5 linked regions of the Macaca mulatta genome follow. The protein of the gene in region 4 interacts with the protein of the main gene of each other region in a biochemical or structural test. Links are inferred from orthologs where the notes say so. Each region holds a gene or a part of one and is shown on either strand. Other genes may lie near its edges.

The links.
Region 1: of the proteins of KAT2B (region 4) and KLF13, one has a biochemical effect on the other in vitro, tested with the Homo sapiens proteins (2 studies listed by BioGRID, with this or other methods). The link is inferred for Macaca mulatta from reciprocal best matches to the Homo sapiens genes KAT2B and KLF13.
Region 2: the proteins of KAT2B (region 4) and IRF2 form a complex in vitro, tested with the Homo sapiens proteins (2 studies listed by BioGRID, with this or other methods). The link is inferred for Macaca mulatta from reciprocal best matches to the Homo sapiens genes KAT2B and IRF2.
Region 3: the proteins of KAT2B (region 4) and CTBP1 form a complex in vitro, tested with the Homo sapiens proteins (2 studies listed by BioGRID, with this or other methods). The link is inferred for Macaca mulatta from reciprocal best matches to the Homo sapiens genes KAT2B and CTBP1.
Region 5: of the proteins of KAT2B (region 4) and SATB1, one has a biochemical effect on the other in vitro, tested with the Homo sapiens proteins (2 studies listed by BioGRID, with this or other methods). The link is inferred for Macaca mulatta from reciprocal best matches to the Homo sapiens genes KAT2B and SATB1.

The regions. Positions count from the first base shown.
Region 1 is NC_133412.1:7,845,314-7,851,987, reverse strand, and holds the start of KLF13 (Krueppel-like factor 13), read left to right. Parts: upstream 1-2,731; 5' UTR 2,732-3,247; coding exon 3,248-3,824; intron 3,825-6,674. UniProt on the Homo sapiens protein: Transcription factor that activates expression from GC-rich minimal promoter regions, including genes in the cells of the erythroid lineage. Represses transcription by binding to the BTE site, a GC-rich DNA element, in competition with the activator SP1.
Region 2 is NC_133410.1:192,856,470-192,862,460, forward strand, and holds part of IRF2 (interferon regulatory factor 2), read right to left. Parts: exon of another isoform or gene 5,621-5,991; intron 5,430-5,620; coding exon 5,330-5,429; intron 4,570-5,329; coding exon 4,393-4,569; intron 4,075-4,392; coding exon 4,028-4,074; intron 1-4,027. UniProt on the Homo sapiens protein: Specifically binds to the upstream regulatory region of type I IFN and IFN-inducible MHC class I genes (the interferon consensus sequence (ICS)) and represses those genes. Also acts as an activator for several genes including H4 and IL7.
Region 3 is NC_133410.1:1,288,718-1,294,326, reverse strand, and holds part of CTBP1 (C-terminal-binding protein 1), read left to right. Parts: intron 1-2,653; coding exon 2,654-2,868; intron 2,869-4,292; coding exon 4,293-4,423; intron 4,424-5,155; coding exon 5,156-5,283; exon of another isoform or gene 5,284-5,358; intron 5,359-5,609. UniProt on the Homo sapiens protein: Corepressor targeting diverse transcription regulators such as GLIS2 or BCL6. Has dehydrogenase activity. Involved in controlling the equilibrium between tubular and stacked structures in the Golgi complex.
Region 4 is NC_133407.1:28,408,967-28,414,957, reverse strand, and holds part of KAT2B (histone acetyltransferase KAT2B), read left to right. Parts: intron 1-27; coding exon 28-112; intron 113-3,982; coding exon 3,983-4,176; 3' UTR 4,177-5,991. UniProt on the Homo sapiens protein: Functions as a histone acetyltransferase (HAT) to promote transcriptional activation. Has significant histone acetyltransferase activity with core histones (H3 and H4), and also with nucleosome core particles.
Region 5 is NC_133407.1:30,110,232-30,116,222, reverse strand, and holds part of SATB1 (DNA-binding protein SATB1), read right to left. Parts: intron 4,717-5,991; coding exon 4,540-4,716; intron 3,776-4,539; coding exon 3,649-3,775; intron 2,877-3,648; coding exon 2,753-2,876; intron 1-2,752. UniProt on the Homo sapiens protein: Crucial silencing factor contributing to the initiation of X inactivation mediated by Xist RNA that occurs during embryogenesis and in lymphoma.

The sequences.
Region 1 (6,674 bases), on a different chromosome or scaffold from region 4:
TTACCGTACCTCTGTCCTTAATTGTGCCTGGTGTCCACCCACCCCAGACGCTGCCTTTTACTTTTTTCAGGTCATAAATATCCAGCCTTTTGTCAGAACAAGGAAGGGGCACTTATCAGGCTGCATGAAATTGGGGTGCACATATGGGCATCTGAGTGTTCCTCAAGCAGACGTTCTGCCAACCTTTCACCCCGGTTTACTCTCACATTCAAAGGGACATAGTGCCACCCATTAGTGAACCTTCTGGGGGATTCCATGGAGTATATTCTTAGCTTTCCTTCCTAGCTACTATCTCAGGGTTTCATTTTCTTGAATCTGCTAAGTATTTTAGCTTCAAAAACTGTGTTGCTGTTACTTCCTCTCTTGTTCTCCCTGTCTTTGTGGATTTCTGCCTTCTAACAAATGCTCCAGAAGGAAGTTAAAGTCAACACATACTAACCATCCACCAACTTTACCCAGAAACTCAACCACCCTTTCAGCCTTTAGTCTCTATACTCCCCAGACACAGCTGCTCTGCTTTTCTGTTGCTTCCATTTGAAATGAGGCGGCCCAGCCCTCACATATACATAGGCCATCTCTGTCAAAATTTTACTTAGCAACGAAAACATGGACTCTTAGCTAAGAGATTTTCTCTGGGGAAGAGCTGTGTCTGTGCGGAAGACGCTTCCATGTAGGTTTGGGATAAAGTCAGTGAACACCATGACAATCATCAAACGCTTGAGTGGATTTTTGAGAAACCGGCCAGGGGGCTCAGTTTTCTATCCAGAATGCCACAGAATACAGTCAAAATTCTTTGGCATCCACATTCTTGGGAAACTCTTGGAGGGGGTGCATCAGTGCCGAGGACCCTTGGCCATGCAGGGCATCCCCTCACCCAGGGCAGGCTTGTTTTGTTCATGGCTGTAGTAGCCCAATACCTAGAATAGTGCACACTCTAGGAGGCCTACCACTGTGTATGCTGGCTGGGGTGACCCGTGGAGAGACGTGGCACCTTGAAGATTGGGGAGAATTCTGCTGGCTGGAAAGCGGCCAGGAGGGTATGGGTGGCTGATAAGCTGGTGTAGGACCACTCCTTCCTTAAGAAGTGACTGACTGTGACATGTGGTGGGAATGGAGGAACATTCCGAATCATTAGTTGGTCAGGACACACGTCTCTTAAATGTCATCAACACAATCTGCCTAGAAGAAACATGATTACTTTCTGCCAAGCACAGACCCTCCTAGAGGGACCAGACCCAGCCCAGCACCTTTATAGTCAGCCCAGAGGGGAGCAACTCAATCAGCGAGACGGCATTTTTGGGTTTTAGTTACACATACTGAGGGTGCTCAAACATCCATGCAATTTGCTGTTCACCATAACACGCAACCCGGAATGGCTGTTTCGGTCCCCCGTCGGTTACCTGAAAAGCGGTCTTACTGGGCCCCAACCCCAAATCAATTTGGTGAGAACCTGAACTCCGCTATTAACCTTAATTCTGAGAGAAGAATGACACCCCCCTCCCACTGCTGGGGTCCACTGAGGGTGAGTGCCCGGGCTCCTTCATTCTCCAGGCTCCTCTCAGAACACAGCGAGGGTGGCGGACTCCTTCCAATGTCCATTAAGCACAATGCACCGGGGAGAGGCAGTAGGCGGTTTGCTGAGCCCGGTTCCGAGGCGGTGGGAAGTTATTCACCGGCGTCTCCGAGGTCAGCCCAGGCCTGGAGAATGGCTGGGGCCGCGGGCTGGAGTAGGGGTTACCGGTGAGAGTCAAGGGCAAGTTGGCCAGGCCCGGGCCGGGAGGCGCGGGCAGGACGCAGCCGAGCATTTCCTCCGGGAGGCCCAGACAGCGGGCGGGTGGGGCGCGGTGGGCGGGGTCCTCGCAGTTGGTGGCTTTTGAAGCCCCCCCGACCGCGGTGGGAGAGGGGCAGCCTAGAAGAGTTGGCAGCGGGCCTGAGGCGGGAGGGGGAGGAAGGGGCCCCGCGTTCCCTCAGCAGCGGCGCCGGCCGCCCTGGCACGTAGTTCGCTTCTGGAGGCACAGGCCGCGGTGGGCGCGCCACCCGGGCTGCCAGGCTCACCGCCAGCCGAGGCCAGACCTGTTCGGGCTGACCCGAGCTCAAGGGTAGCGCGGCCGCACACCGGACCCCGGCCGCCAGGAACGAGCCCGAGGAGTCTGTCCCTCCCGCAGGAACTGCCCCGCCCGGACTCCCGGAGCTCTGCAGGGCAAGGGCGTGGAGCGGGCGAGCGGCCTGAGGCTCTAGGCGCGGCCACCCGGCAAACTGGCGGCTGAGGGCGCGGCGCGAGTGCTTTCCGCCCCCAGGCAGCCCCGCGCCCGGCCGAGCAGACACGCCTCCCGGCCGGCGCCCATCGCGGGAGGAACAAATGGCGCCCTCCAGAAAGCACTCCGCTCCACGCCGGGGGCGAAGGCTGGCCACCACACAAAAGCTCCGGCAGGGAAGTGCCCGCTGTGTCCCCACTGCGGGGGGTACGGGCAGCAGCTCCGCGCCGCGACTACCAGGCCCACCACCCCCGGACGTCATGCGTCAGCGCGCCCCGCTCCAGTTTCCGCCCCTCCTCCTACCGGCCCAGGGGACACGCCCACTGGCGCGCGCAGGCCCCGGGACCGGGCACGCCCCTCTAACGGCCCGGATTGGCCTGGCCGTGCACTCACGGACGAATGGCGTCCGTCCTGGCAATCGGCCACGCCCCCTTCCCCAGGCGCGGGCACGCGACCCCTCCGTTCCTCCGGTGCGCGCTCTGGGCTCCCCGCCCCCTCCGCGCGCGCAGCTCCCCGCGGCCGCCGCCGCCTGTAACCTGCGCCGCCAGGATGTGGCTGGGGGCTGACGTCGGGTCCAGATGTGGCCCCGGCCCCGCCCACCCCCGGGGCCGGGCCGCCCACACCGAGCCGCGGCGCGCTCGGCAGCTGTCCCGCCTGCCACAATGCGCGGCGAAACTGCGGCCGCGACTTGGCGTGGTGGTCCCTAACGTCGCCGCTCGGCATCCTTAGAAGCGGCCGCCCCTGACGCCGCGCGGGGACCCCAGTCGTCCGCGCCCCCCATGCGCTCGCTCTTCGGTGCCCGGCCGGGCCGGCGCCTCGCAGACGCGGAGCCGCGCGGGTGACGGCAGAGGCGGCTGCGCGCCCAGCCCAGCCCAGCCCGAGGAGAGGGCGCGCCGCGCCCCCGCCCCCCGCCCGCTCTCCCGAGGCCGTGGGTGCGGATGCGCGGCTGACGCCTCGCAGCAAGAGCACCGCCGCCGGCCCCAGCCCGCAGCATGGCAGCCGCCGCCTATGTGGACCACTTCGCCGCCGAGTGCCTCGTGTCCATGTCGAGCCGCGCGGTCGTGCACGGGCCGCGTGAGGGGCCGGAGTCCCGGCCCGAGGGCGCGGCCGCGGCCGCCACCCCCACGCTGCCCCGCGTCGAGGAGCGCCGCGACGGTAAGGACAGCGCCTCGCTCTTCGTGGTGGCGCGGATCCTAGCGGACCTCAACCAGCAAGCACCGGCGCCCGTCCCGGCGGAGCGCAGGGAGGGCGCCGCGGCCCGGAAGGCGAGGACCCCCTGCCGCCTGCCGCCGCCCGCCCCCGAGCCCGCCTCCCCCGGCGGCGAAGGCGCGGCGGCCGCGCCCCCCAGCCCGGCGTGGAGCGAGCCGGAGCCCGAGGCGGGGCTGGAACCCGAGCGGGAGCCGGGACCCGCGGGGAGCGGCGAGCCCGGCCTCAGACAAAGGGGCCGGCGGGGCCGAAGTCGCGCCGACCTCGAGTCCCCGCAGAGGAAGCACAAGTGCCACTACGCGGGCTGCGAGAAAGTTTACGGGAAATCCTCGCACCTCAAGGCGCACCTGAGAACTCACACAGGTCAGTGGGGCGGCGCGGGCGCCCGGATTGCTCGGTCGGGGTCAGTGCGAGCTGCCCGACCACGCCCCCGGAGCCGCCGGCGGGGCGCGAGGTAGGGGCCGGGCGGGCCGGGACGCCCGGGGCTTCGCCCCTTCCCCCGCCGCTCCAACCCGCTGCTGGCCCCGCGCGCCGTGCGAGGCGGGTCCTGGCTCTTGGAGCCGGCGCCCGCCAGGCGACCGCGCCCCCGCCGGGCACGCCCCCTCCCCGGGCGCGCTCGGGTGGGGCCGCGGGGGCGGATGTAGTCATCTGGGTCGGGGGCGGGGACCCCGCCCGGCCGGGGGGCGGTGTGGGCAGGTGCGGACAGCCTGGGTGTGGACCGCAGGCGGCACTCGTGACGGTGGGGCGCCCGGTAGCGGGGGCAGGGGACGCTCTCCGGGGTCCCTCCTAGTCTCCTCCCCCGCCGCCCGGGCGCGCGCTCAGGAGGGGAGGGGCCGGCCCTGGCGCGCGGCGGGCGAAGTTCACGTAGGGACAAGGCTTCCTTCGCCACTCGGCATATTCTCCGCTCTCTTCTTCCTGTAATTTTTCCAGCGCTCTAAGGTTTAATTTGTCGTAACCAGAGTCAGCGGCGGCGCTGGGCGATGCGGGGGGCGGTCCCGGCTCCCGCTCCCCGCCTGCGGCTCTTTGTGGGAACCCCCGCCCAGTCGGCCGGCGGGGGCGCGCCCGGCCCTAGGGCTCTTCGGCCTCGCAGCTCTCTCCGGAAACGAATGCCCTGGCTGCTGCCTGTCCTCCGTGCTGACCTCTCGCCTGCCCACCTCTCACCTGCCCTGGGCCGGTGCGCGGCGGGCGGCACCTGCGCCAGGGCGGGCGCTGAGCCTCCAGCCTGGGGATCACCGCCCGCCCCCGCCAGCCCAGCGGCAGCAGTTCCCACGCGCGGCCCGATACTTTGTAGTTGATTCATCTGTGGCGGTTCCCTCCCCCGCTTTTTGTTTCGTTTTTAACACAAAGATGAAAACGTGTTAATGGACGGCAATCCTCCCTCATTTTTGTGTGAAAATTTATATGCTTCCCCTGAGCTCACGTGAGTTCTTCTGTGACACTCACCTCTTCGGGGGGCAGGCTCAAAACCCATGTACTGAATATTGTTGCCTTGTGACCAAGGGTGGTAGTGTCTCATTTGTAAAATAGTTCACGTAGTGATTAAAAGGCATTAAAAGAACCTGCAGCCTTGGAGGCCGTAGAGCTGAAGGCCCCCTTTTTTCCGGTACATTTGGAACTGAAAGGGCCCGAGGTCTGCAGGTGAGGCATTCGAATTTCGGACTAACTTTCACTCCGGAGGCTGTTGTGGCCGCCCCAAACCGCGTGGCAAGTGATGGGCTAGAGAGAGAGAGCAGGGCCATTTCTAGGCATTCGGGGTCAGTTAAGGGTATGGGGGCTCAGGTTGGGGGTGGGGATCAGTATGGACTCAGAGTTCAGCTCGGGACGCGGCTGCAGGGTGGGTGTGGCCCTGGGGGAGGGGCCAGGCAGGGCTAGGCTGGGCTCGGCTCCAGGTGGACCCTGAGTATCGGGTCGGGGCAGCGCTTGGGGCGTGGCTGGGGTTGAGATCCGCTTTGGGGGAAGATGCGCGTGTTGAGCGGGATACTTAATGTTTGGGAAATTTTTCTACAGCCCCTGTCAGGGTGGTCTGCCACTCGGCAGCACTGGTAGCTGGGAATTGAGGAGGGGGGTGGCCGAGGGGAGGGGCTCGCCGTGGTGGGCGGGGCCGGCTCGTCAGGGCCTCGGCCCTGGGATGTCTTCCTGGTGGGTTCACCTCCGGCTTCAGGCTCTGGCCCCGCGCGAGCCCCTTGACTAGAATATTGGTGCAGGGGCTCTGGAGACTCGGGCCTCCCGCCGTAGGTGGGGCCAGTTTCCTCGGAGCGCCTGGAAACCGAAGGCAGGCAAAAGAGAATAGAACCAACCCTTTGAGCGTTTGCAGTGTGCTAGTGTCCATTCTTGAAGCAGAGAAACTGTTCCACCCTTCGGGTGTGCAGACATCAGAAGTGCTACCTCCAGGGTGGAAACCGGCCTCCATGTCGGGAGTGCACAGGGCTCCGGCAGCGGGGTGGCGGGGAGTTGGGAAGAATGCAGACTTTCAGGCCCCTGATGCCGACCCGTTCTAGCCTGCAGCTGGGAATGCATGTTACCGGTACCCCAGGTGACCCATTATGAGGGTTGCACTGCCCAGAAACCTGCCTCTGGAGGGAGTGTGGTTCAGCATCTGGCGGAGGGCACCCCTGGGAAGCCCATTTCCAGTTCCTGCCCAGATGGGCAGAGCGTAAGTAACTGGTGTTCCTCCAAGGAGAAGAGGAGCGTCTTGCAGAAGGAAGAAACCCAGGCAGCCCTCAGGGATGACTGAGAAGGCAGGCCACGAGGGGATAGCTTTGCTGCAGCCATGGGCTCTGAGGTGTCTGTGGTTTGTGGGCCTCTAGCAGCATTGTGGGGTCTCTGCAGTCAGTGACGGAGGTCATGCCGAACCCTGTGCTCCATTAGGTGTGGGAAGGTGCCCCCGCCGCTTCCTGCATCTCCAGGATCCACAGTAATTTCATGGCAGAGGGTGAATATCAAAACCAGGAAGGTAGCCAGCTGCTCTGTGCTTTTCCTCTGTGACCAGGGACCGGTTCCCAGATCTCCCTGCAAGTTGGTGATGTCTGCCCTGACCACCTGCAAAGTCTTCAGGGAAATGAGGTCAAGTATGTGAAGACCCTTTGGGAAATGCAAGGGTCAGCCTTGACTCTGGAGGCACTTGTGGTCCCTTGGCCGCGGCTCTGCTCTGATTTTCCACCCCCACTCTCTGAACAGTTGCATGCTGAGAGCTTTCTGTCCTGGTTAGCTGTG
Region 2 (5,991 bases), on a different chromosome or scaffold from region 4:
ATGAATCAGCTTCTCTGTGCATCCATTTCCTAAATGTCTACAAGGGAAACGACCTGCCCATCACAGGGAGAACTCAATGAGACAATAATCATAGCTGGGAACTTGGAATCAGCTGAAAAATATCAACGAGCACCCCTCTGTTTTAACTACTTCTATCCTTACTGTTCTTGGCCTTGTGTGAAGTCTGACAGAGCAAACCATTCCATGATATTTTCTGAAACATATGTATGCACTGATGACGTAGCATCCAGGATTTCTCACTATTGTTTTTCTTTCTTTTTTGAGGTGGGGAAGGGGTCCTGCTCTGTTGCCCAGGCTGGAGTGCAGTGGTGCAATCATGGTTCACTGCAGCCTCGAACTCCTGGGCTCAAGCCATCCTCCTACACCTCAGCCTCCTGAGCAGCTGGGACTACAGGCATGTACCACTGTACCCAGCTGTTTTTCTTGTTTTCACTTCCTTAGATATCCAGTTACTGCCGCACAGGTGGGGCTTAGCTCAAGGAAAACATGGTTCACTGAGTATGCAGGGATATGCTCACAAAAGGAAATGTCAGAGGATGCTGAGGCCATTTCTGCACATACCACATGGCTACTGGGCCTTGGGTCTCCCAGTCTCGGGGAGACTATTTGTTGGGGGACATACAGCACGGAGATGAATCATGAGTGACCCCAAGAAAATTCTAACACTTGGCCTACATGTTGTAAACAGTTTGCTAATTAAAACTTCAACTTGAATTGAAGATTGGGAAGAGCTTGCTTCAACAGCAAATTTTCATACCTAGTTACCACATGAAAGACAAATTTCCTCAGAAGAAACCTGCTTAGTGTATCCGGTTACATATTTGGATAGACTAAGTAGGTTTAGTATATTTGCACAGGGTGTATTAACTCAGTCCCTGGGTGTTTTGATATACAATTAAAAGGTAATATATTAACAGCTAGTAATTGTCCTCTGACTTTCCAATTCCAGACGCCCTGGGGAGTTCACTTTTCAAACACTCTGCAGAGACAGAGTCCACACGATGGCTTGAACAGCCAGGAAGCACAGAACTCGGGAAGCCCACTGGCCTCTTCCGAGCTTCCCTGCTTTACCGTACAGTACAATGCAAGTAGATCGAAATTCCGAAGTTAGGCTGTGTGTAGGCCTAATGAATCACCTGCCTTCTTCAAAAGAAAAGTTTCAGGTGTCAATCCTATCCTCATGGCACAAGGATTTCATGAAACACACTTGGCTAAGGTGGCTCTTGACCCACATGGCTGCACGTAAGGGGATCTCTCACTTACTTCCCTGGGCCAGGATGGTCAAGCCCACCTAGGACTGTACCTTCCACAACTTGCTCATTTTAGGGCCATGTGAAGACACTGCTGGTGCCGATGTGGCTGCAGAGATCCCGGACGAACGGGACCACCACGTGGCAGGAACTACTAAGACGGACATTTCCTCGCATTGCCACATCCCTGAAAGAGGACGTGCCTTTCAATCCAGTATGTGTCCTGGTTTCATTGGAAGCAATTTTTCTAAGAGATACACAAAATAACAGTGCATCTTAGCATCATTGGCATCTGGCGTTCGATGGAATACAGTGGATGCATGTGAGCAACGTGTGCTGAAAAGGCAACATATTTCTTCATTAACTGTGATTCGGAAATTAAATCTGCATCCTAATGGAAAACCCCTCACTCCCACCCCACATATCCTACTTATTTATGCATCTATTTAGTCAACAAACGCTGATGCATCTATTCAGTTATCAAATACATATTAGTGGTCTGTTCCGGGCCAGACACCGAGCTAGATGATGGGAAAACAGTAGTAAATACGATTCAGTCACACTTGAAATTGTAGCAAATTCTCACACATTGGTGAGAAAGGTATACTTTTCTGACTAAATAACATGAATCAAAATGTAGGCCTTAAAAATACTAAGTCGGCCAGGCTCACACTTGTAATTCCAACATTTTGGGAAGCCAAGGCAAGAGGATCACTTGAGGCCAGGAGTTTGAGACCAGCCTGGGCAACAGAGTAAGACCTCACCTCTATAAAAAAATTTTTTTAATTATCCATGCTTAGTGGCACACACCTGTAGACCCGACTACTAGAGCGAGGCTGAGGCGAGAGGATCACCTGAGCCCGGGATGTTGGGGCTGCAGTGAACCATGATCGCGTCACTGCACTCCAGCCTGGGTGACAGAGTAAGACCTTGTCTCAAAAAAAAAAAAAAAAAAGATCTGTGAGAAATGATATGGCTAACAACTAGGTTTGTTCAATTGTAAAAATATATATATATATTTTAAGAGGTAATATAGGAGAAACATATACACTTAAAAAATACTTAAAAGACATTCAAAAACCACATGTGAATTGTATATGGGTCTTAAGTAAACAAACCACATGAAAATTATAACATGTATGAAACAACTGAAACTCTGAACACTGGCTGGATATTCACTGATACTGAGAAATTACCGTGCACTATTTCAGGTACAATAATGACATCATGGTATTTTTACAGAGCACTTATCTTTTAAATATATATACTGAACTATTATGGAAGAAATGCTACGAGATTTGGGATTTGCTTCAAACATTATATTAAGCTGAACTATAAAGAATTGTTTTTGGGCCGAGTGCTGTGGCTCCCGCCTGTATTCCCAACACTTTGGGAGGCTGAGGTGGGAGAATCGTTTAAGATCAGAGGTTCAAGACCAGCCTGGCCAACATGGTGAAACCCCATCTCTACTAAAAATACAAAAACTAGCCAGGCGTGGTGGCGTGCATTTGTAGTCCCAGCTACTCGGGAGGCTGAGGCAGGAGAATCGTTTGAACCCAGGAGGCAGAGGTTGCAGTGAGCCAAGATCGCACCACTGCACTCCAGCCTGTGCCAACAGAGTAAAACTCTGTCTCAATTTAAAAAGAAAATAAATAAATAAATACACAAATTATTTTTGCAAGTCAAAAATGGTTGAAGGGCTGCAATTTCATGTTAGAAGTCAGGAAATGGGAAGAGCTATTGATGAAGCAAAACTGGCCGGGAGCTGATTAAGGTTAAAATTAACCTGAATGATGGCCTATGGAGTAAATTTTACTCATTTGTCTCCTTTCTATGTGCATAAAATCTTTCCACAATGAAAAGTTAAAGCACAATCAGGCCTTTAATACAGTGCAATATTTAAATTTCGTTAAAAATAAAAAATAGTGAAAGTGAAACTGAAAGTATCAGTGCAGAAATACGCTGCCTAAATTTCTTCATCTGCAAACGGAGGCCAGCGAGCTAGACAATCTCTCTGAGATCCCTGGGTCTGTGGCTGCAGTGTCTGCCCTCTGCTCAGCCACTGAGGTTTGTCCCCAGTTTTGCGGGGCATATTTGGCTCTTCTCTCACTGTTTACCAAGGGCCACCTCATCTGTGCACAGAGACCCTCAGACCACAGGGGACTGCAGACCACACAGCCTCGTGAGAACTCACACACACACGCACATCCCACGGGAAACCCTTGTGGGGTGCGAGCGATGCAGGGGGCAGAAGGCAGTCATTGAGAGCTGTGCTGATGGAGCACTGAAGCTAACCACTGGTCCCCCACCGAAGGGCCCGTGACGGACGTCTGTAACATACAGTTCACACATTTTATAGAGGTAGAGAACATTCAATACATACTAACGTATATTTAATAGCCTGAAAATATGCTTAATAGTATGAGCCACAAGCTGTTGTGGAGCTTAGCTGGCACAGAATGACCGCTGGCAACGGCCGTGGTGGCCAGATGGAGGCCGCAGCCTGCCGAGCGCAGTGAGAATCTGTGACTTCATTCATAGATTTCCCAGGGAAACGGGATGAGGCAGGGCCCTGTGTACCTATGTCTGCAAGTGGATACATGCCGAAGAGCAAACATGTAAAGCGCAGAAGACACAAGCAAAGGAAGAAAGATGACACGCTCCGCAGAGGTCCTGTGACTCGCCTTTACGAGGCAGAGTATGAGTCATTAATAGGAACCCAACTTTGGCTTTCTCTCTGAAACACCCAAGATTACCTTGATGTGCTTAACTTTGTCTTCTTTTTCTGTCTTTGGTTTCTTTCCTGTGGCAACAAAAATGTAGTTTTGTATTAATTCATGAAGGGCCTCCAGAGAAACATTTCCCTCAAATTAAATTCTTTCTGAAACTCTCAATGAACTTGTTGCTTTACTCTGTACATGATCAAAATTCCACATGTATCTTTTACTGCCTTTGGTGAATTGAGAGTCTTGTTTCCAAGCCAGGTAGGGGCGGAATGATCCCCCACAGCATGAACAGGCTATTCTACCTGCGAAGTGACTGCGGATGTAGAAATGAAGAGGTCACGAAGGCACGATGACATAAATTGAGTGATCTTGTTTTAGTCTGTAAATGCCTTTACCTTTCTTAGAAGGCCGCTCCGATAGGGGCAGCATTCGGTAGACCCTGAAGGCATTGTTTCCTTTCTTTATGCTTTTATCCTTGACTTCTTCAATATCAGGCAAGGAATTCATGGCACATCTGAAATTCGCCTTCCATGTTTTGGGATCAGGTTTATCTACTCCTGGTTGATGCTTTCCTAACAAAAGAGATAAAGATTAAGAAAGAGATAGAAAACATTAGATACAGAGGAAGAAATTTCTGGAAACACAGTATTGCTGGTCAGGCAGTATGAGGAAACCTTTTCACTCCAGGCTATACCTCCAGTGACCAATCGTCCTGGTGTACCTGGGGGTGAGAAGGTTCTTGGGATGTGGGAATTTTGTTTTTAAAACTTGAACAGTTCCAGACAAACTGGGACAAGCTGGTCACCCTGGTTCTACTGAACAGCTTGAGGAAACTATAAATGCTGGAAGAATGGAGCACCAGCGTAAGAAAAATACAGAAGACCGAGAGGCTGCAAAGTCAACAGGCAGAGGGAACCTGAGTGCCTCTTTTTCATCTGACGCTCCAATAGAGTCCATTCCTGTAAATAGCTCCCTATGTAAATGTTGTAATAAATAAATGTATTTCTGACTACCTTTTCTAGGGTAGATAAATTTGATCAAAGTTTATGGCATCAGAACAAATGAGTTTCTATTCCCCTGGTAACACCTAGGGAACTTCTTAGAATACTACATTTATAGGAAATTGAAGGACTAAGAGTCTACGAGATGAGGGGAGCATTACTTCTGACGGCTGTAGTTTGCACCCCATGTGTCCTGGATGTGCCTAGCAACAAGTCACAGGTTTTTCACAGCCATCTTCATGAGGTCGTAAGCCAGGATATTTTATGTGTAATAAAAACAAAACTAAGCAAGAGTGCCCGCCTCTATAAACGCCGCAGGGAGTTTAGGTACCTGTATGGATTGCCCAGTTTCTAAAGAGTGGTGCGTCTTTTTCCACGTCCCACCCATGTCTAGCCGCGTGCATCCAGGGGATCTGAAAAATCTTCTTTTCCTGAAGGGAAAAAAAAAAAAGGTAAAGAACAACCGCAGTCACGGGTTTTGACCCACCACTGCAAAAGGTTGTGAAGGTCTAGCCAGCAAGATTCCCCACCAAGCATCACTGAATGTGTTGACTGTTGACAAGAAAATCTACCGTAAACCAAACCCACTTCCCCCGCTGGATCCCAAATCCTGACAGCCTACCCCAAGTGACAGTCAGTCCCATGAAGTCTTGCAGAGCAGGAATGTTTTCCAAGGTCAAAGGTGATGATTTGGGATATGCCAGTGTGTTCCATTATTTGTGCCACTTTTCTGTTTTTTAATTTTCTTTTTGGAGACAGAGTCTCGCTCTGTTGCCCAGGCTGGAGTGCAATGGCACGATATTGGCTCACTACAACCGCCATCTCCCGGGTTCAAGAGATTCTCCCACCTCAGCCTCCTGAGTAGCTAGGATTACTGGCATGCGCCACTACACCTGGTCACTTTTTGTATTTTTAGTAGAGACAGGGTTTCACCACGCTGGCCAGACTGGTCTCGAACTCCTGACCTCAAGTGATCTGCCTGCCTCAGGCTTC
Region 3 (5,609 bases), on a different chromosome or scaffold from region 4:
CTTTTGTCTGAAAATGTGTTTTGCCTTTTTTTTTTTTTTTTTTGGTAGAAGATCGAGTCTCGCTCTGTCGCTCAGGCTGGAGTATGGTGGCGCGATCTCGGATCACTGCAATCTCCACCTCCTGGGTTCACGCCATTCTCCTGCCTCAGCCTCCGGAGTAGCTGGGACTACAGGCGCCCGCCACCTCGCCCGGCTGACTTTTTGTATTTTTAGTAGAGACGGGGTTTCACCATGGTGGCCAGGCTGGTCTCGAACTCCTGACCTCGTGATCCGCCCGCCTCAGCCTCCCAGAGTGCTGGGATTACAGGCGTGAGCCACCACAGCCTGTTCTTTAAAAAAAGTTTGATTTTTTTTTGTTTTTTTTTTTTTTTGAGACGGAGTCTCGCTGTGTCGCCCAGGCTGGAATGCAGTGGCCGGATCTCAGCTCATTGCAAGCTCCGCCTCCCGGGTTTTTATGCCATTCTCCTGCCTCAGCCTCCCGAGTAGCTGGGACTACAGGCGCCCACCACCTCGCCCGGCTAGTTTTTTGTATTTTTTAGTAGAGACGGGGTTTCACCGTGTTAGCCAGGATGGTCTCGAACTCCTGACCTCGTGATCCGCCCGTCTCGGCCTCCCAAAGTGCTGGGATTACAGGCTTGAGCCACCGCGCCCGGCCTAAAAAAAGTTTTTTTAATTCTTTTCTCTCTGCTTCTGTTTGGATGCCATCTGCTGACTTTGAGCCCCAGCCTTCAAGCTCCCGATCCTTTTCTTGCTGTTAGCTTCGTCCAGGGAGTTCCATTTCAGAGGGATGTTTTTGTTCTGGAATTTCTATGTGGTTCTTTATAGAGTTGCCATTCGTCTTCCAGAATCCTCCATTTTTCTGCTGTTTACATCAACACTTGCTGTCATCTCTGAGCATGTTTATAGTAGTTATTTAGGAGCTTTTGCTGGCTGATTCCAGCCTTGGTCATCTGCAGGTCTGTCCGCTTCTAGTGTTTTATTCTAATTAGAAGCCACATCTTCCTACCTCTTCACCTGCATCATCATAATTTCTTATCATAAGCCAGACATCGTATGGAAAAGAATGGCAGAGACTAAAGTGAAGAACCATCTCGCCCCAGCAGCCACTGCTGTCCTGTGTCAGGTGTGGCCGGCGCTGGCCTGCGCCTCTAGCTGGTTTTCGCCACCGGCAGCCGGACTCCCTGGGGCTTTCTGTTGAGCAGAGTGGGAAACAGCGTCTTTTCTGCTTCCTGCGCTGTGGGAGGTGCCTTTCTCTGTGTCTGCCTATCTGCCTTCCTTCCTCCCTCTCCTGCCCGTTCAGTGGGATCCCTGGCAGGGGGTGCTGCCAGACGGGGGCTGTTCCTGCATCTGGGGAGCTGCCCGGGTACTCCGGCCGTGACTGACCTCGGAACTGCTTCTCCCACCTCGGCCTGCCGAGCCCTCCTCCCCGGACCGGTTGCCTCCTGCAGCAGCCTCGTCCCTGGGGATGAAAGGAGCCGCCATATTCCTTCTGGTAGAACAGGCGCCTGCCTTTCTAGGATGTAGTGTATTTAGACGGTCCTCAGCTCTTCTGACTGGCCTCCCAGCCTCCCCCAGGCTGTTCCCAAGTGACTGGGAGTCCCCTGGGCGTTTGGGCCACATCTGGCTGCCCTGTCTGCCTGGCGGTCTGGTCTCCTTGGCCCTCAGGCCGCCGCCACCGTGGGCCCCTCACACGTGTTGTTCCAGCTCTTCGGCTCCCTTCCCATCCCCTCATGTCTCCAACAAGCTTGGTCTTCTCAGGGATGCCTGCCCTGGCTGCCACCTCTGTAACTGCACCCGCTTCCCTCCTGCCCCAGCGCCCAGCCGGCTTCCTTCCTGTGCAGCGGTTCCCTCTGAGGCGATGCAGGAGACACCACATTGGCGGGCTTGGGTTCTTGTGTCCTTCGCAGCCGCGTCTGGGCTTCTGAGGTCCTGTGTCCTTCGCAGCCGCGTCTGGGCTTCCGGGGTCCTGTGTCCCTTGCAGCCGTGCTGTTGGCTCACGGTGGGCGCATGCACCCTGCCGACCCTTCCCCGGGGAGGAAATGGTGGCTCTGGCTCCGTGGCTCCTGTGCTGGGGCCCACGCCAGCCTTGGACTGCTGGGGTCGGGGCAGGCACGTCTGCCCGGGATGGCTTTCTCTGCCACTCCACTGGAAGGGGACAGGACATGAGCCCAGCGGGGCCTCCCTGGTCTGGAAGGTTCCCTCCCGCCCCCTTTGCCATCTCCACCTAGTCGTGGCTGGAACTGAGATGCCAGAGACATCGATGGGTGGACCGGAAAGCAGGCCAGTGGAGGGACCTGGGCACATAGGGCGTGTGTGGGGTGAGTGGAGACCCGCTGACGGTCCGTTTGACACTGAGTGGTTCGTGTCACGTCCTGTGGACAGGCTGCGGGGGGGCGTGGCTGGCAGCTGGTGTGGGCCGAGGGGCTCGTGCACCCTTTCCCCCCCGTGCACAGCCTCCACCTTGGCAGTGGGCGCATTGGGAGCAGACACCTCGTGTGGAGATACCTCGCGCCGGCACCTTGGCTTGACCACAGCTGGTGTCCTTGGCAGATGGTCAAACTGAGGCACAGGGGCCACTCCGATCCTGGCTGTCAGGGCTAGCCTCCCAGCCACGGGTGAGCGAGGGTTTCACACTGTGTCCTGACACCACCAGGTCGCGTGGGGCAGGCGGTGGCGCTGCGGGCCAAGGCCTTCGGCTTCAACGTGCTCTTCTACGACCCTTACCTGTCGGACGGCGTGGAGCGGGCGCTGGGGCTGCAGCGGGTCAGCACCCTGCAGGACCTGCTTTTCCACAGCGACTGCGTGAGCCTGCACTGCGGCCTCAACGAGCACAACCACCACCTCATCAACGACTTCACCGTCAAGCAGGTGCGTGGAGCCGGGGCACAGGGCTCTCCTTCTGCGGGGCAGGCACAGGTGGGGGTGTCAGGAAGGTCCCTCCCAGCAACCACCTGCACCTGGGCGAGACCCTGCCTTCAGTGAGCCACATGGCGGCGGTGCCGGCCCTGCTGGGGGAAGCCCTGTCTGCCCAGATGGCGTTTTCCATGTTCTGAGTTCTACCCAGGATGCCTGAAATACTCTGGATAAGACAGAACCACATACCTTTGAATCCTAAATTCCCCTGAAGCTCTTGCCACTGTCACAGTGGAGATGATGCAGCTACCTGGGGGCATTGGGCCTGCCCTTCTGACTTCCATCCTGTGCTGCCAGGTTCAGGTTTCACATCTGCAGCTGGAGAGGGCTGTGCTCAGGTCGGCCTCTGCCTCAGCTCAGCGCAGAGCGCAGCCTCAGCCCGTGTTTCCCTCGGGTGGGCGGAGCTCGGGTGGGCGGAGCTCGGGACGGCTGCCTCCCGCTGGCTGTTGGCCTTTCAGGGAGTCGTTATGTGTGCACGGTGATGTGTGTGTATGTGGGCAAGTGTGTGTGGGTGCCTGTGTCTGCCCGTTTGAGCTTGTGTGTGCGTGTGTGTACACGTGTCAGAGGCCACCCACCCACTCAAGCTGCCCCAGCAGCCTGTAGCCACAGGGAGGATGAAACCAGGTGCCCACCTCCCCTTCCTTTGTTCACAGAGCCAGTGGGTTTGGAGCCTTCTAGTGGACAGGGTGTGGCACGTGGATGCTGGTCAGGGCCCTGCCATCCCTGAGGACCTTGGGTGTGAGGCTGCAATGGGCAGCAACTCACCAAAGAAAAGCCACCGTGACCCACCCGGCTGCCACCCAAGTGCAATGGCTGGGTGGGCTTCCTCGGAATGAAATGGGGGGGTTGCAGGAAAGCCCTGGCCACGAAGCTGACAGGGAGCCACTGCAAGGGCCTTTTGCAAAAGTGCATGAAAAGTGAGCCTGTCCGGAGGCCCCACTGGGGTTGGAGTCAAACACCACACCTCAGAGTAGACGGCCCTGGGCTTTGTCATCCCAGGGAGTCCCACCTCGTGGGCCGAGGCCCTGTTGGGGGAGGCTGGGCTGGAGGGGACCCAGAGAAGGGGTACCACAGGGGGACCAAGCCAGGAGCCCCCACCCAGTCCTCAGCTCAGGGCTTGGGCAGGAACGTAGAGCTCTCTAGGAGGTGTGGGGCCATGCAGGTCTGCCAGGGCCGAACCTCAGCCAGCTTGCCAGGGCCGCGGCGCAGCACGCCTGAGGTCTTAAGTCCTAGCACCCTGGTGAGCCCAGGGTGGGCCTGGGCTGGGAAGGGGCCAGGGAGCTGGGCCTCCTCAGCAGCGTGCGTGACCACCTTGCTTCCCTGGCCGCTCGCCCTGCACGGAACCCTGACTGGGCCTGGCCTGTCCTCATGTCTTCCAGATGAGACAAGGGGCCTTCCTGGTGAACACAGCCCGGGGCGGCCTGGTGGACGAGAAGGCGCTGGCCCAGGCCCTGAAGGAGGGCCGGATCCGCGGCGCGGCCCTGGACGTGCACGAGTCGGAACCCTTCAGGTGCCCTCACAGCCAGTGTCACCCCCTGCTCTTCCCTGCCCACCATCCTGCCGGCCTTGACCTGCAGATGGCGCCTCCGCCAGGCCGGGCACTTGCTTGTACTCAGGCCTCTCGCTGGCCGGCATGGGGGAGTTTGCTGCTCACTGTGGGGTGAGGACGGAGCCACGGGCTCCAGGCCTGCCTCGCCTCGGTCCTGTGAGGGTTGATCGTCCTCCTCAGCCCCTCTTCGGGCAGGGCTCCCCACCAGCCAGGAGAGAGTGAGGCCCCAGTGTCCGTGAGTGGTCCCCACAGGCCCTGGCCATGGAGTCATGGCGTCATGTCCAGACCTGCAATCCCTGCAGCGCCCTGGGACCCCAGGCAGCCCTGGGTTGGATGGTCAGCCACAGGAGGAGACACCCCGCAGGGGCAGTACCAGCCTGCAGCTCCTGGGGCTACAGGACCTTCGGCCGGGAGGGGCCAGGCCAGCATGTCCCCCCATCAGGGCTCCTCCCCCAAGGGGCTTGGAGATTAAATCCTTTGGGCTCCCACACCCGCTGCTGTCAGGAGCCCCTGGTGTGTCTGATGGTCCTGGGGCTGAGCTCTTGTGCTCAGCCCGCCTGCCAAGCGGAGCGGGGCCGTGGGGTCTGTGGGTCCCAGGCAGGGTCCCCCACAGGGGTTCCAGTGCCCAGCCACTTCCCCCCCGCACCCAGCCACAGCACTCGGGCTGCACTGACCATGCTGTGCTGTTCCCAGCTTTAGCCAGGGCCCCCTGAAGGATGCACCCAATCTTATCTGCACCCCCCACGCTGCGTGGTACAGCGAGCAGGCTTCCATCGAGATGCGAGAGGAGGCGGCACGGGAGATCCGCAGAGCCATCACAGGTGGGCCTGGGGGACTCTTCCTGCCAGCCCCAGGCCTGGCTCATGGGCTCGCATCCGCCCAGCAGCCAGGCCCATGTTCTGCCAGCTCAGGGCCCATGGTGCTCTCACTGCACCCCCAGCAGGGACCTCTAAGGCCAAAGTCAGGTTGAGCCCTGGCGTCGTCTTACACACAAGAGCTGCTGGGAAGTTGCTGGGCTGAGCAGACAGGTCCCTCAGCAAACTGGGCACATGCTCTGGGCTGGGGGTCCCCACGCTGCGAGGGTTCTGGTGCCCTGAGAGACAGGACCCTGCCATGCCTTGGGAGCCCCGGGGCTGAGAGGGAGGAG
Region 4 (5,991 bases):
GATACCTTACTTTTTTCTTTACCCAAGAGCCATCAAAGCGCTTGGCCCTTCATGGAACCTGTGAAGAGAACAGAAGCTCCGGGATATTATGAAGTTATAAGGTTCCCCATGGGTAATGCCATTAACATTTTCTAAGTATAGATTTAAAACTGGATGGCGGTGTGGGGGACAAATGGTTGCTGAGGTTGATTTGTACTCCTCTGTTTAGGGTAGGAAGTGTATGACGGGTGGTGGGATTCCACGCACCGTGGAGGGGCAGTGATGGCAGAGAAGTGGGTGGCTGTGTTCATTAGAGACATTCTGCAGCTGTCGTTTAGAGCCCACACGAGCTTAACGACACTAGACACAGAAAATCCAGGGTAACTGCAGATAGCACTAGGTATGAAAGCTGGTACTTTAGATATAACTTTGCTTATATTCTGTTTGGTGCAAATAGAAAACATCAGCTTATCCTCTTGATATGCTTTGAGTCTGTCGTAAATAGGTATTCCTTTTCATAATTATTCAAGATAATAATGAAAGAAGTTAAACTACTTGACTGCTGTCCTTTCAGAGGGAGAAATTCTACTTACCACAATTCTGGATTTTCCATGCCCTTGATGGGTACTGTTGGTGTCACTGTATATACTCTTTATTTTAAGCTTTGTCTCATATCCAAAATCAAACAAAAAAGGATGTCTTCAGAAATGTAGAATTGTGCAGTTTGGTGCTTTGCCCACACTATGCTAAAATGAATGATTAATTCAATTGAGAACGCTCAAATTAAACTAATTTGGCATTGTGGGGTGACAGACAGCTAGCTGAAATGTTTTCTTTTTATCAGCTACGTGGCCATATTTTTGGAGAGAGCCAGAGTCTTCTGTCTCTTTTCTACTTGTAATCTATTCCAGGTGCTAAGAATTGTGGAAGTCCAGCCTGGGTAAGGTAGTGAGACCCTGTCTCTACAAAAAGTAAAAAATTAGGTGTAGTGGCACACGCCTGAGGCCCCAGCTACTTGGGAGGCTGAGGTTGGAGGATTGCTTGAGCCCAGGAGTTTGAGGCTGCAGTGAGCTGTGATTGCACTACTGCACTTCAGCCTGAGTACTGGAGGGAGACCCTGTCTCAAAAAAAAAAAAAAAAAAAAAATTATGGAAGTATTAAAAATGTGAAAAGGAAGAGTGAAAGGGATGCATTAGCTCCTTGATAACTGAGTTATTTATAGGTGTTTTCTATAGCATTTAAATGTTTCACATGAATATTTTATATATTTATAGTAATGATTTCAGTAGCCTACACCCCTTAAAGTGGACACACATCTATATGCTTTTCTTTCCCTCTTCTCTCTGCCTTACCACTATTTATTTCAGTACAAGAAAATAAAGGGTAGGGTTGAGTCAGTCTAGAATTCTGAATGGAAGGCTGATTTGGGAATCAGTATTGTCCACTATGTGCAAAATATGTTAAAACTCTTTGTGTCCATTTCTAACCATAAATTAACTGATTTTTGTATCCTCTTCTCTGGACTGTCTCAGCTTCTTTTGTGAAACCCTCATGGGAAGTTGTGTCAGTTTGGGGCCCTTTCAGCCCCTGTCCACGTGCACTCTGAAGACGTGCAGTGATAGGTCTAGCGGATCCCATTGATCATAGCCTACTTACAGCCTGCTTTCTGAAAGTGTTTTTGCTTGGTCCAACCTGTAAAGGTTGTGAACTTCTCCAGTTGGATACAACCTGTGTGCATAGCTGAGTCTCACGAGGGGAAAACTGACCTAATTGAGCAAGGCCAATGATTGGCTGAAATGTGTGCTGGACAAACTTAATTAAAGCTATAAATGGTGTTCTTCAGTAGGGCAGTATTTTTTTTTTTCTTGGTATTGTTTAGATGCTGAGTAAAATATTTAGTTTTGTCCCCAAGATTATCTTGTATTTGAAGACAAGAATGACAAATCAATAATTTTACATTTTCCCATTGTTTCCTTATTTGATTTTTCTAATAACATTACTTTTCTTTCCCCATATTCTAAAAATGGATGAGATTTTCTCTCATATGGATGGGATCTAACCTGTTTTCTCTCATATGGATGGGATCTAACCTGTTTTATTTAGGGAGTCACACACTGGACATCACCTGTATAGTCCAGCCCAAGCATGACTTCTTGTTACACATGGATGGCTAGGCAGGATTTTCATGCTTATCCAGAATTCCCAAATTAAGGGGAAGGGACATGAAAACAATAATTTAATGGTGTCTCTATATTTGGTACCACCAATATTTAGTCACCTTTTTTAACCCACCTCATTTTGTCAATTGAAAAAACTCTAAGAAGGCCAGAGGAAGAAAAATGCTATCTATAGCTATAGAATAGAAAGGAAGTATTCAGAATTGTTTATAGTTATTCAGAAAAGTCCAGACACCTCCATAATTCTTGCTTTGTTTCTGTTGCATTTTAGGCTCTCTCCATCTTTTCTTACCCACCTCCTAAAAGTAGTTCGAAAGCTTTTGGACAAACTTCTTTGTGTTGTGTCATCCTTTTGCTCCCCCTCCACCTTTTTGGGGGGTACATGTTTCTTCCTTTTAAAACGTTATAAATATTATATTGGGCAGCACATCTTAAGTGGTAGACATTTAGGTGGAAAAGTGAAAGGAATGTAAACATCTACTTTTACTTAGGGTCAATTTCATTGTTTTTTTCTTCCTTAAATGAGAGAACATTTTGATCTGTTCAGTCACACGTGGATGGGACATTTAGTGTGGATTTGATGAGTCTTTGTGTTTCTTAACGCTTTTAGATTTTTCTCTCTCTCCAAATTGTTTTAGTTAGAGAAGAAAGAAAAGTTGAAAGTTGAATTTATAGATGTGATGACATACACTCTAACCAAGATAGGCTTTAATCAAGAGATAGGCAGAAGCAGCTTTTTTCCATTTCTTCTTTGATGCTCTTGTGGTGGATTTAGGATATTGATGCAAATGAATTTCTTCCCATTTGGGGATATTGTACATAAATTTACTTACCTTATTAAATGATGATCCCAGTGTATTTGGTTATAGGTTTCTTTCCCCTGGAAATTTTGTAACATGCTTAGAATTTGGGATTTGGGTAGTCAAAAGTGTTTCCCCCCCGCATTTGACTTATTTTTCCACACATAGTTAATACAATTATAGCTTTTAACAATAAAGCCAGACTTCAAGACAACCAGGGAACCATAAATAGACAAATGTTAGCATCTATTCTAATCTGCATATAATTCTTTAAATTAGTCCTGACAGTGAGGACTGAGGAAACCCCTCTTTAGTTTTATCAGTTTAGCTGGAGTACTGTTTTCACCTGTAAAATTCTGCCATTTAAAGCAAGCAGCTATATTGGGAAATTCTTTGCAATAGTCTCACAAGGCTTACTTGCTTTAGAAAATAGATTATTAAATGAAGTTTGTTATTCTTATTTCATTGATGGAGCTTGAAGCAAAATTCATTCGAATCATTTTACATGCAAGGTCACTGGTGTGTTCACAGATGTATTTATTATTAGTTTCTCTACTTTATCTATATGACACCAAAACAACTGTGAGTTTAGTGAAACAAACGCAGTCTGATAGTTTTAAGTAATTAAATGATTCAATACCAACGATCCACCTGCTCTGCTCCATATAGATAGAGCTTCTTCTGTGTAATTCTGAATGAATAGCTAACAGTAGTCAGTTCATCATACTTATTGTTGCTAATCTACTTAGCTTCCTTGTGCTGAATAGGGGATTGAACCAGATGACTAATAATGGTCCCTTTAATGCTAAAATGGCTGTGATTTGACATTTTTAAAGAACCCACAAGAGAATGAACATAAGATTTAAGAACTGTTTTCCTTGATCATAAGAATTTCTCTTAAATAAAAGCATTGGGATGATAAAAATGTAATCAAACCAACAACATAGATTTCTTTCCCAGTCCCAGTTTTGTCAGCTGGTGTTTAAAATGAGTCAAAGATTGCTAATATTTTTTTTTCCTGTGCAGATCTGAAAACCATGAGTGAACGCCTCAAGAATAGGTACTACGTGTCTAAGAAATTATTCATGGCAGACTTACAGCGAGTCTTTACCAATTGCAAAGAGTACAACCCCCCTGAGAGTGAATACTACAAATGTGCCAATATCCTGGAGAAATTCTTCTTCAGTAAAATTAAGGAAGCTGGATTAATTGACAAGTGATTTTTTTCCCCTCTGCTTCTTAGAAACTCATCAAGCAGTGTGCCTAAAGCAAGGTGGTTTAGTTTTTTACAAAGAATTGGACATGATGTATTGAAGAGACTTGTAAATGTAATAATTAGCACTTTTGAAAAACAAAAAACCTCCTTTTAGCTTTTCAGATATGTATTTAAATTGAAGTCATAGGACATTTTTATTTTATGGAATAGATTTTAATCTATTTACTACTATTAAGGTAAATTTTCTATGGCATGTCCATTAGCTGACTATTCCATGATAGATGATTAGGGGTTTCCTCAAAACCTGTGTGTGAGGAAATTGCACATAGTAGCAAAATTTGGGGAAATTCATAAAATTTTCAGACCGTGAATGTTTCCATTTTTTTCTAATGGAATGTGAGAGTTTATTTTTATTTTATTCCGAAGGACTTTAAGGAAGGGATACATGATTTTAAAAAAGCCTGTAAGAGGTGAAATATGTGATGTTTGAAGTCTCATTATAGACTTTTTATATATATTTTTTAAAACACTCATCTAGATGAGGTGCTTTGAGCAGTTCTGAAAAATGCAGTTCCAGGAAAGCAACTGCTTTGATTCCTAAGGAAGAAATTCTAAATAATGCAAACTTTTTAAATAAGCATCTAGGTTTTTGATAATTCTGTGTACCTGCAACAAACTTGTTAGTACATAACCACTATTTTAATAATTATTTTCTCTACACAAATGTGTGATATCATATTTGACTTTGCTTATGCAGGCCATAAGTTCCAAAAGATAATTTCCCTGGCCACAAAGGCATAAACTTGAAAACACATGAGATTGAGTCAACATGCTTTAATAGGAAAAGATGTGTGGTCTATAAATGTATCCATCTGGTGAATCCTTGTTCTAATAAATATTTTTTTCTTTTCTATGATACACACAGCCACACTGATAATATGTAAATGAACATTTTCCTTTTTATATCTCCAGATTATGTTTATTGTCTGAGGTGAATTAAATTCCCACCAGGGTTTGCTGTCAGTATTTTAACACCCACATTAGTATATGGGTCCAGGGTCATAACCCCCTAAAATCCATCATGCAACCTTATTAATCTATCTTGGGATTTCAGTTTAGTGCTTGGATTTATTTCCTGATTACACTACATAGAAAAGTGAGACATCTGCCATCCCAGCTCTGGGAAAACCAACTAATATACAACCATATAAACGAAGGCCATCTTGATGGTCTCAACACTAATTTTTTATGATGCAAATTTATAAACTGATTTTTGTAAAGGACAAACTTTTAAAAGTGTATTTAACTTGATGTTTTCTATCAGCATAAATAAAATGGTCATGAATAGTCATTAAAAACAGTTGCCAGTGATAATCTGCATGAAGGAAAAAGACCCCCGCAAATGGCTGAGTTGGAAGTATTGTTTTTGATATGTAACAGATATTCAGAATGCTCACACTGAAAATGCCTCAACTTTTTAAAGTATAAGAAACCACCATGAGTGGTGTCTAGATTTCTAATGAAGAATGATGATACAGTTTGGATTAAGTATCTTGGACTGGTTTTAAACAGTGCTTTGTACCGGATCTGCCGAAGCATCTGTCCAGCCTGGTATCCTGTGAAAGTTTGTTATTTTCTGAGTAGACATTCTTATAGAGTATTGTCTTTAAAATCAGATTGTCTCTTCTATATTGAAAGCATTTTTATGTTTTCTAATTTAAAAATTAATATTTTCTTATAGATATTGTGCAATAAAGCTGAAGTAGAATGTGTGGTTTTTGCAAATGCTTTAACAGCTGATAAAATTTTACATTTGTAA
Region 5 (5,991 bases), about 1.7 Mb from region 4:
CTGCCCACAGGGTGAACTTTCTACTAACCATAATATTTAGGGACCCTGTAGCCATACTTGCTACTGGAGTACTTTATCATATTCAACAAAATAAAACCCTTACTGTACAGTAAAATGTGTATGCTGAATTGCACGCTAAAGGTTCTCTCGCATGAATGAATCAACACTCTATAGGGGAAGAAAGGGCTTAACACTTGGCATTTCTTGGTGTTAGGTCCCATTTTGCACAAGACTGAGGCCATATTTATTTGCTAGGCTTTTTTCACCATGACCATCTTCATCACCAAATCTTAACCATAGGAAAAAGAGTAGTTTTGTCAAACTCGGCATATACTTTGGACATAGGCTTTAGGGAACTTGCATCTCTCATCTTAATAACTCTAGACAGAAAAACATAATAAAGAAGCACAAAGAATACAGTTTATATTGAAAACATTCTGACTGGAGTATCAGATTCATAGAAAAAGAGAAGATGTTCAGCAAAATATAAAATAACTCCCTCATTTAGAGAACAATTTACATTTTTTCATACTGTTAAATATTAAATTAATTTCAAATATTTGCTTTCACTGCTAAACTATGCATAATTTTTAGAAGTTTTTTTAAAGAAAAGAATACTGTAATTATAATTGATGTTGAAATTGTAGCCTAGTTCCATCACTTAATGATTACAGTGAGGTATCCAGCCACAGGAGGCCATGTATCTGCAAACCTCTCTCTACAGAAATTCATCAATGTATGACTCCAAAACCAAGTCCTGAATTACATTTTGTCATTCTACTTAATGTTATAATTGTCTGTATGCAATTCATTTTCTATGATAACATTAAGTAAATTCACAATTCTATTTATAAGTTATAGCGAGGTGGAGTTTATTGGCTGAATGTTGATGTCATTTAACAATTAGTTCTCACTGACTGTATCAATAAATATCTCTACCGACATCCTCTTCTTCAGCTCATAGTAAATGCCTTAAGTCTTCGTCTGAATATGCTTCCACGATCAATGGGACATTTAGTAACATAAAGACACATGCGATTCCAGTACTGGGTGTTTATATTATGTTTTAACTGAGTTTTTAACAAGTTTATTTCTAGATCATCTCAAATTTTCAAATGTTAGCAACCATGTAACATGTTATCTGGAGTTGTCTGCAAAACAAAGTCCCAGAAGTAAGAGTCACCCCTTTATTCTATCATCCTATTGATTTGTGTTTAATTAGTTTAAATTATTTTTATTTGATGGTTATAAATTCCTATCCTCTCTATTCCAAGGGTGAGAGAGGGAAGATAGGAGATCAGCTGAAGGTGTAACTGAAATGACAAAAAAGAGTTTTCTCTGAATTGCAAGAAATGGACACTTAGCAATACAGAGAATATATAAACTGTGGCTATAGCTTATTGTAGAAGAATATAGAAAGCTATTAAATATAAACTTAATTCATTTGCTTCATTCCTAAAATTTGTAGCAAATATCAAAGTAAAAATGTTGGAATGTAACTTAGCAAATCTGAAATGCATGGAGTTTCTATGAAACAGAAGCACAAAGCCTACAAGATTCCCTTCAAAGGTACCCAATAATCTTCATGAGCCTCATATTAGAAATACATTTTGAGAATATCTGCTACTCAGAATATAGCAGAAATACACTTTGAGATCTCTCAATTGCAGAAATGTTTACAGCAGCGTCATACAGTTCAAGTTCAAATGGCTGAGACTAATATTCAGAATTAAAACTCAAATTAAAAGAAAACATTAAAAATTTGGTAAAAATCTAGTTGGACCAACATTTTAATAATACTGTATCATGGAATGGCCTTAAAATGGGTTTGGGTACTGAGGGGATGACTGTAACATATTATATATTTACATGTGTTACAGTCATCCCCTCAGTACCCAAACCCATTTTAAGCAGCCCTTTAAGAGTAGATTCATGGCATCCTTTTTTTTTTTTATTTGAAATCAGCTGAGTTTCATCAAAAATGATGTTTGACTTTCTGTCTATAAGCAGGTAGGCAGTCTCTATCTAGAGTTTTAGCTGCCCTCCACCAAATTTATTCTAAACAAAGAAATCAAGGAAAATAATTTAAAAATCTTTATTTCATTTCAAATATCCCTGATGGTATGACAGGTATCTCAGAGGGAAAAAAGAAAATTCCACTGAAAAAAAAAAACAGAAAAGTAGTAAACCAAAGCCACAAAACTGGTCACAAAATCCTAATGAATTAACCACTATTCAACCTTTAGTTAAGGGTAATTATTTTCATAATTATTTGTACTAAAATACTTTTAATTTTTTGGTAATGAATATCCAAGAATTGTACTGTTGTTTTATTCAGATAGCACGGTGAAGTTTTACGCATTCACACTGCCACTGCCATTCCCTCTCACCAAAGCTTTGTGGGATTAGTACCACCTTGACTCTTTCTTCAATAAGGGCATTCAGGAGAATGTAGCCATCATGCTCATAGCACTCAGAAGACAAATCTAAAAATTAGCCAGCGGAGTCTTCCACTGAACTGTTTTTCCTGTAAACAGTCCTTTGGCTCTTTTCCCCAAGGGAGAAAAAGCGTATAGGCTCTGTTCACAACAAATCAGGCATATTTTAAAAGGTCACCAGTGGTCAAGTCACTTTACATTTTTGGCAGATTCTTGCTTCAGATACCAGTTGCTTTAAACCAGGGAGCTCCATCAAACCTCAAATCAGGGTTGCCCATGATGTCTTATTATTTATTACATGCTATGCTAAGTACCTGTGAAAGGGGGCACTCCTTGGCCAACGAACTCTGATTCATATCTTTCAGTAAGTCCTTCAGAGCATTCCTCACTGTGGTGTGCGACCATTGTTCGGGAGGCAAGTCTTCTAGTTTGGGGCAACTATTTGAGACATAGATTAGAAAGGGGATTATTACAAGATTGCATCCCGCTGCAGAACATTCCTTTAAGACAGACAGATTTCATTTTGCGCATCAAACAGATGCATCTGGAGATTGCTCTCGGTCTCCTGATTGTTCCGATTAGTTAATTACTTTATACAACACATCTGCTGTATCGATGCATGAATTATACATCAGCTGCCTGTGGTGGCTATTTTTTCATGTTACTTCTACCTTCCTGCTCTGATGCGCTTGGGAAGACAATTTAAGGTGTACTGCTTTCTCCTGAGCCATCGTGAAAAGCTTTAACGTATTAACCGATTTCCTTTCATTACTCTGTACATACGAATTAAAATCATAAAAAAATAAATAAATAAGATTGTGGTAATAGTGAATAAGACAGTCTTTCACAAAATGTACACAGATGGCACTGTTCATGATATGCAAAAATATTTTTTTCTTAAGTAAACTTTATGTAAAATGCCTTCTTGTAATGCATTATTTAATTGACTAAACGTAAAAAGTCTTCTCTTTTGATAACCTGCACAAACCCACACATTTTGTGTGTGTGTTTGGGGGGGTTGCTTTTAAATTATACATTGAAGTTAGGAAAAAAGGCAGAAGGATAGGGTAACAAAATCGAATCGATCTGTATTAACCTTTCTGAAACACGGAGTAAAAAAAAAAATTGAAGGTTGACCAGAGAGAGATGCTTCATTTCAAAAGATCAGGTAAGAAGAAGGTTTCACCCTAGATTTGCTGTCTTGACTCACCTGTGTAACTGAATTTTCAATGTGACCACATGATACACATCTTGAAGCATATCTGCTACTGTAGCATCAGGGGCATCTGTCACGTAAGACAGTGGAACTGGATTCCACTTTCCAACCTGGATTAGCCCTATTTCAGATAAAGAGGATATGTCACTAAATATTTTACCCTCAAATAATATATCTAGTAGAAGGGTGTTCTTTCCTACTACCCCTACCACAAGCAATACCGTTATTTCTGTCTGAATGATTCCCTTCCCTCTAAAAGGCAGGTCAATGAAAATATTCACAGCTTAGCTTTCCAAATTGTAAAATTATGTAAATGACTGTAGGGTTGTTTATTATTTTGGAAATAAAACCCCATCAATAAAACCTATGCATAAGGCCACATTTTCCTAACTTACAGGAAGTTCTAATAAGACATAGCTGAACCAGTTCTAAATGGCTTTACGATTTAGATAAGATTCTCTATTGCAGTGGGAATCAGCATTGAAAAATACTTTACAGCCCATAAAACCATCAGAAACAGAATAAAAGAAACAGAACTAGATATTCAGTCATAAATGCAAATTGACTCTCAACAGTCCATCTGCTCAAATACGCTCCTCACTTCCTTGTGGGTCCTCAGTGGAGCAGATTATTAAGGTCAATAAGCATACTAATGATTCAGCTGAAGTAATTTAAAAAAAAAAATCTACCTCGACATTCCACATGAGCAAAATGTGTGTTAACTAAACTAAACTGAATTAAGCCAATTTTTTAAAGCCACAGCCTAAAAGGAACCAATGTAATACACAGGCTACAGTTCTTTGAATAAAAATATTCAGTGCTTTCTCTGCAAGGTAAACAAAGAATGCCAAGCAATTTTTCCAACCCCACGTACACATTATTTACCTTTGGCCTGGGCAGCAGAGCTATGTGAATAACCTAGAGACAGCAATGCCATTTCGATCAGCTGGTTGAAAAGCATATCCTTTCTCACCAGCACAAATTCTGCATGCTCCTCCTTGCAATCATATTCAATGGCGTTTTCATAATGTTCCACCACACAGAAAACTGGCAGCATGGTTCCTATCAAAAAGATGAAGAAAGAGGGATGGAAAACCAACAGTCTTCAGAAATACAGCTTGGTGGGGGGAGGAAAAATTAGCTATGAAAATAAATAATCACAAGAGATTCACTGTGCTTCCAAGGCAGACTGGGTACAGAACTACAGGCACATGCACACAAATATATACATTCTCATATTAAAGTTGTAACAGAAATATTGAAGTAGAATGTGAACTTGGTCCTAAGGTAAGTTGTGCTCTAAATTAACAGTGCATTTTCCAAAAGCAATGAATGCAGAATTACCTTTCTGATCAAATAATAATGGTGACGAAAGAAAAATGTGTCTTCCTTAATTTGCTATGAGTAGTATACAGTATGCAAACACAACTCACTGTTTATCTTCAGAAGAACCCACCTTTCTACTGCCTACATGATTTTGCTAATAATAAACTTTTCCTGCTTGTGTCCAAACAAATTATCTTCGACCAAGAAATTTTCATTTTCTTCCTTTTTTAGATATTAACTCTAACTGGTTCCACAAAAAGTACTTAACCAAACCGGTCATCATAATACAGAATTTCAATATGTGCATAATCTAGACAAATAACATTTGCTTTATGAATACTCATTTAACCTACCTAAAAAGATAGCACAGTACCCATAAGTCTTTAAAATCAACAAGCTTTGTTATAGCAAATAAGGTAAAAATGAGAGAGAGAAAAGGAAACTGACCTTATCAGGACATACTAGGAAAAAGGAATCTGCATAGATTTGGTGTGCTCTCTCTTTATATATTTTAATCCAATATAGTAACTCAGTAGCCAGATGATTAACAAGCACAGGCCACACCACTATTAGAAAGACACTGCTTCTAGAAATTGGTATTACGGAATGCTGTGGTACTCAAGGTGTTTATGCAGCGCACTGTCAGACTTCCAGTGACAACGGAAAAGGGTTAAAAGCAGATGCATCTGAATTGTACTGTGGCAAACTGCCAGAAGGGTATCATCTTTAGCATAAATGATGACAAGGGTTACTTTAACAGGGCACCCAGGATCCACAATTAGTCCTACAATACTAATGCCTCTACAAGCTCTGTCCTCTGGACTCACAGAATCATAACAACTTCTGAAGATGTCTTAGTGCACACCAACCGTAGCTAAAAAAATCAAGATTTCCTACTGACACCAGAGAGGCCCTTCAAAGATTCTCTATTTGCTTGTTTCTGCTGAACAAAAGCCGGCAATCAAACAGCTATATCCTTCTACATGTGAGTCTTCACCAAAGCTTTAGCGA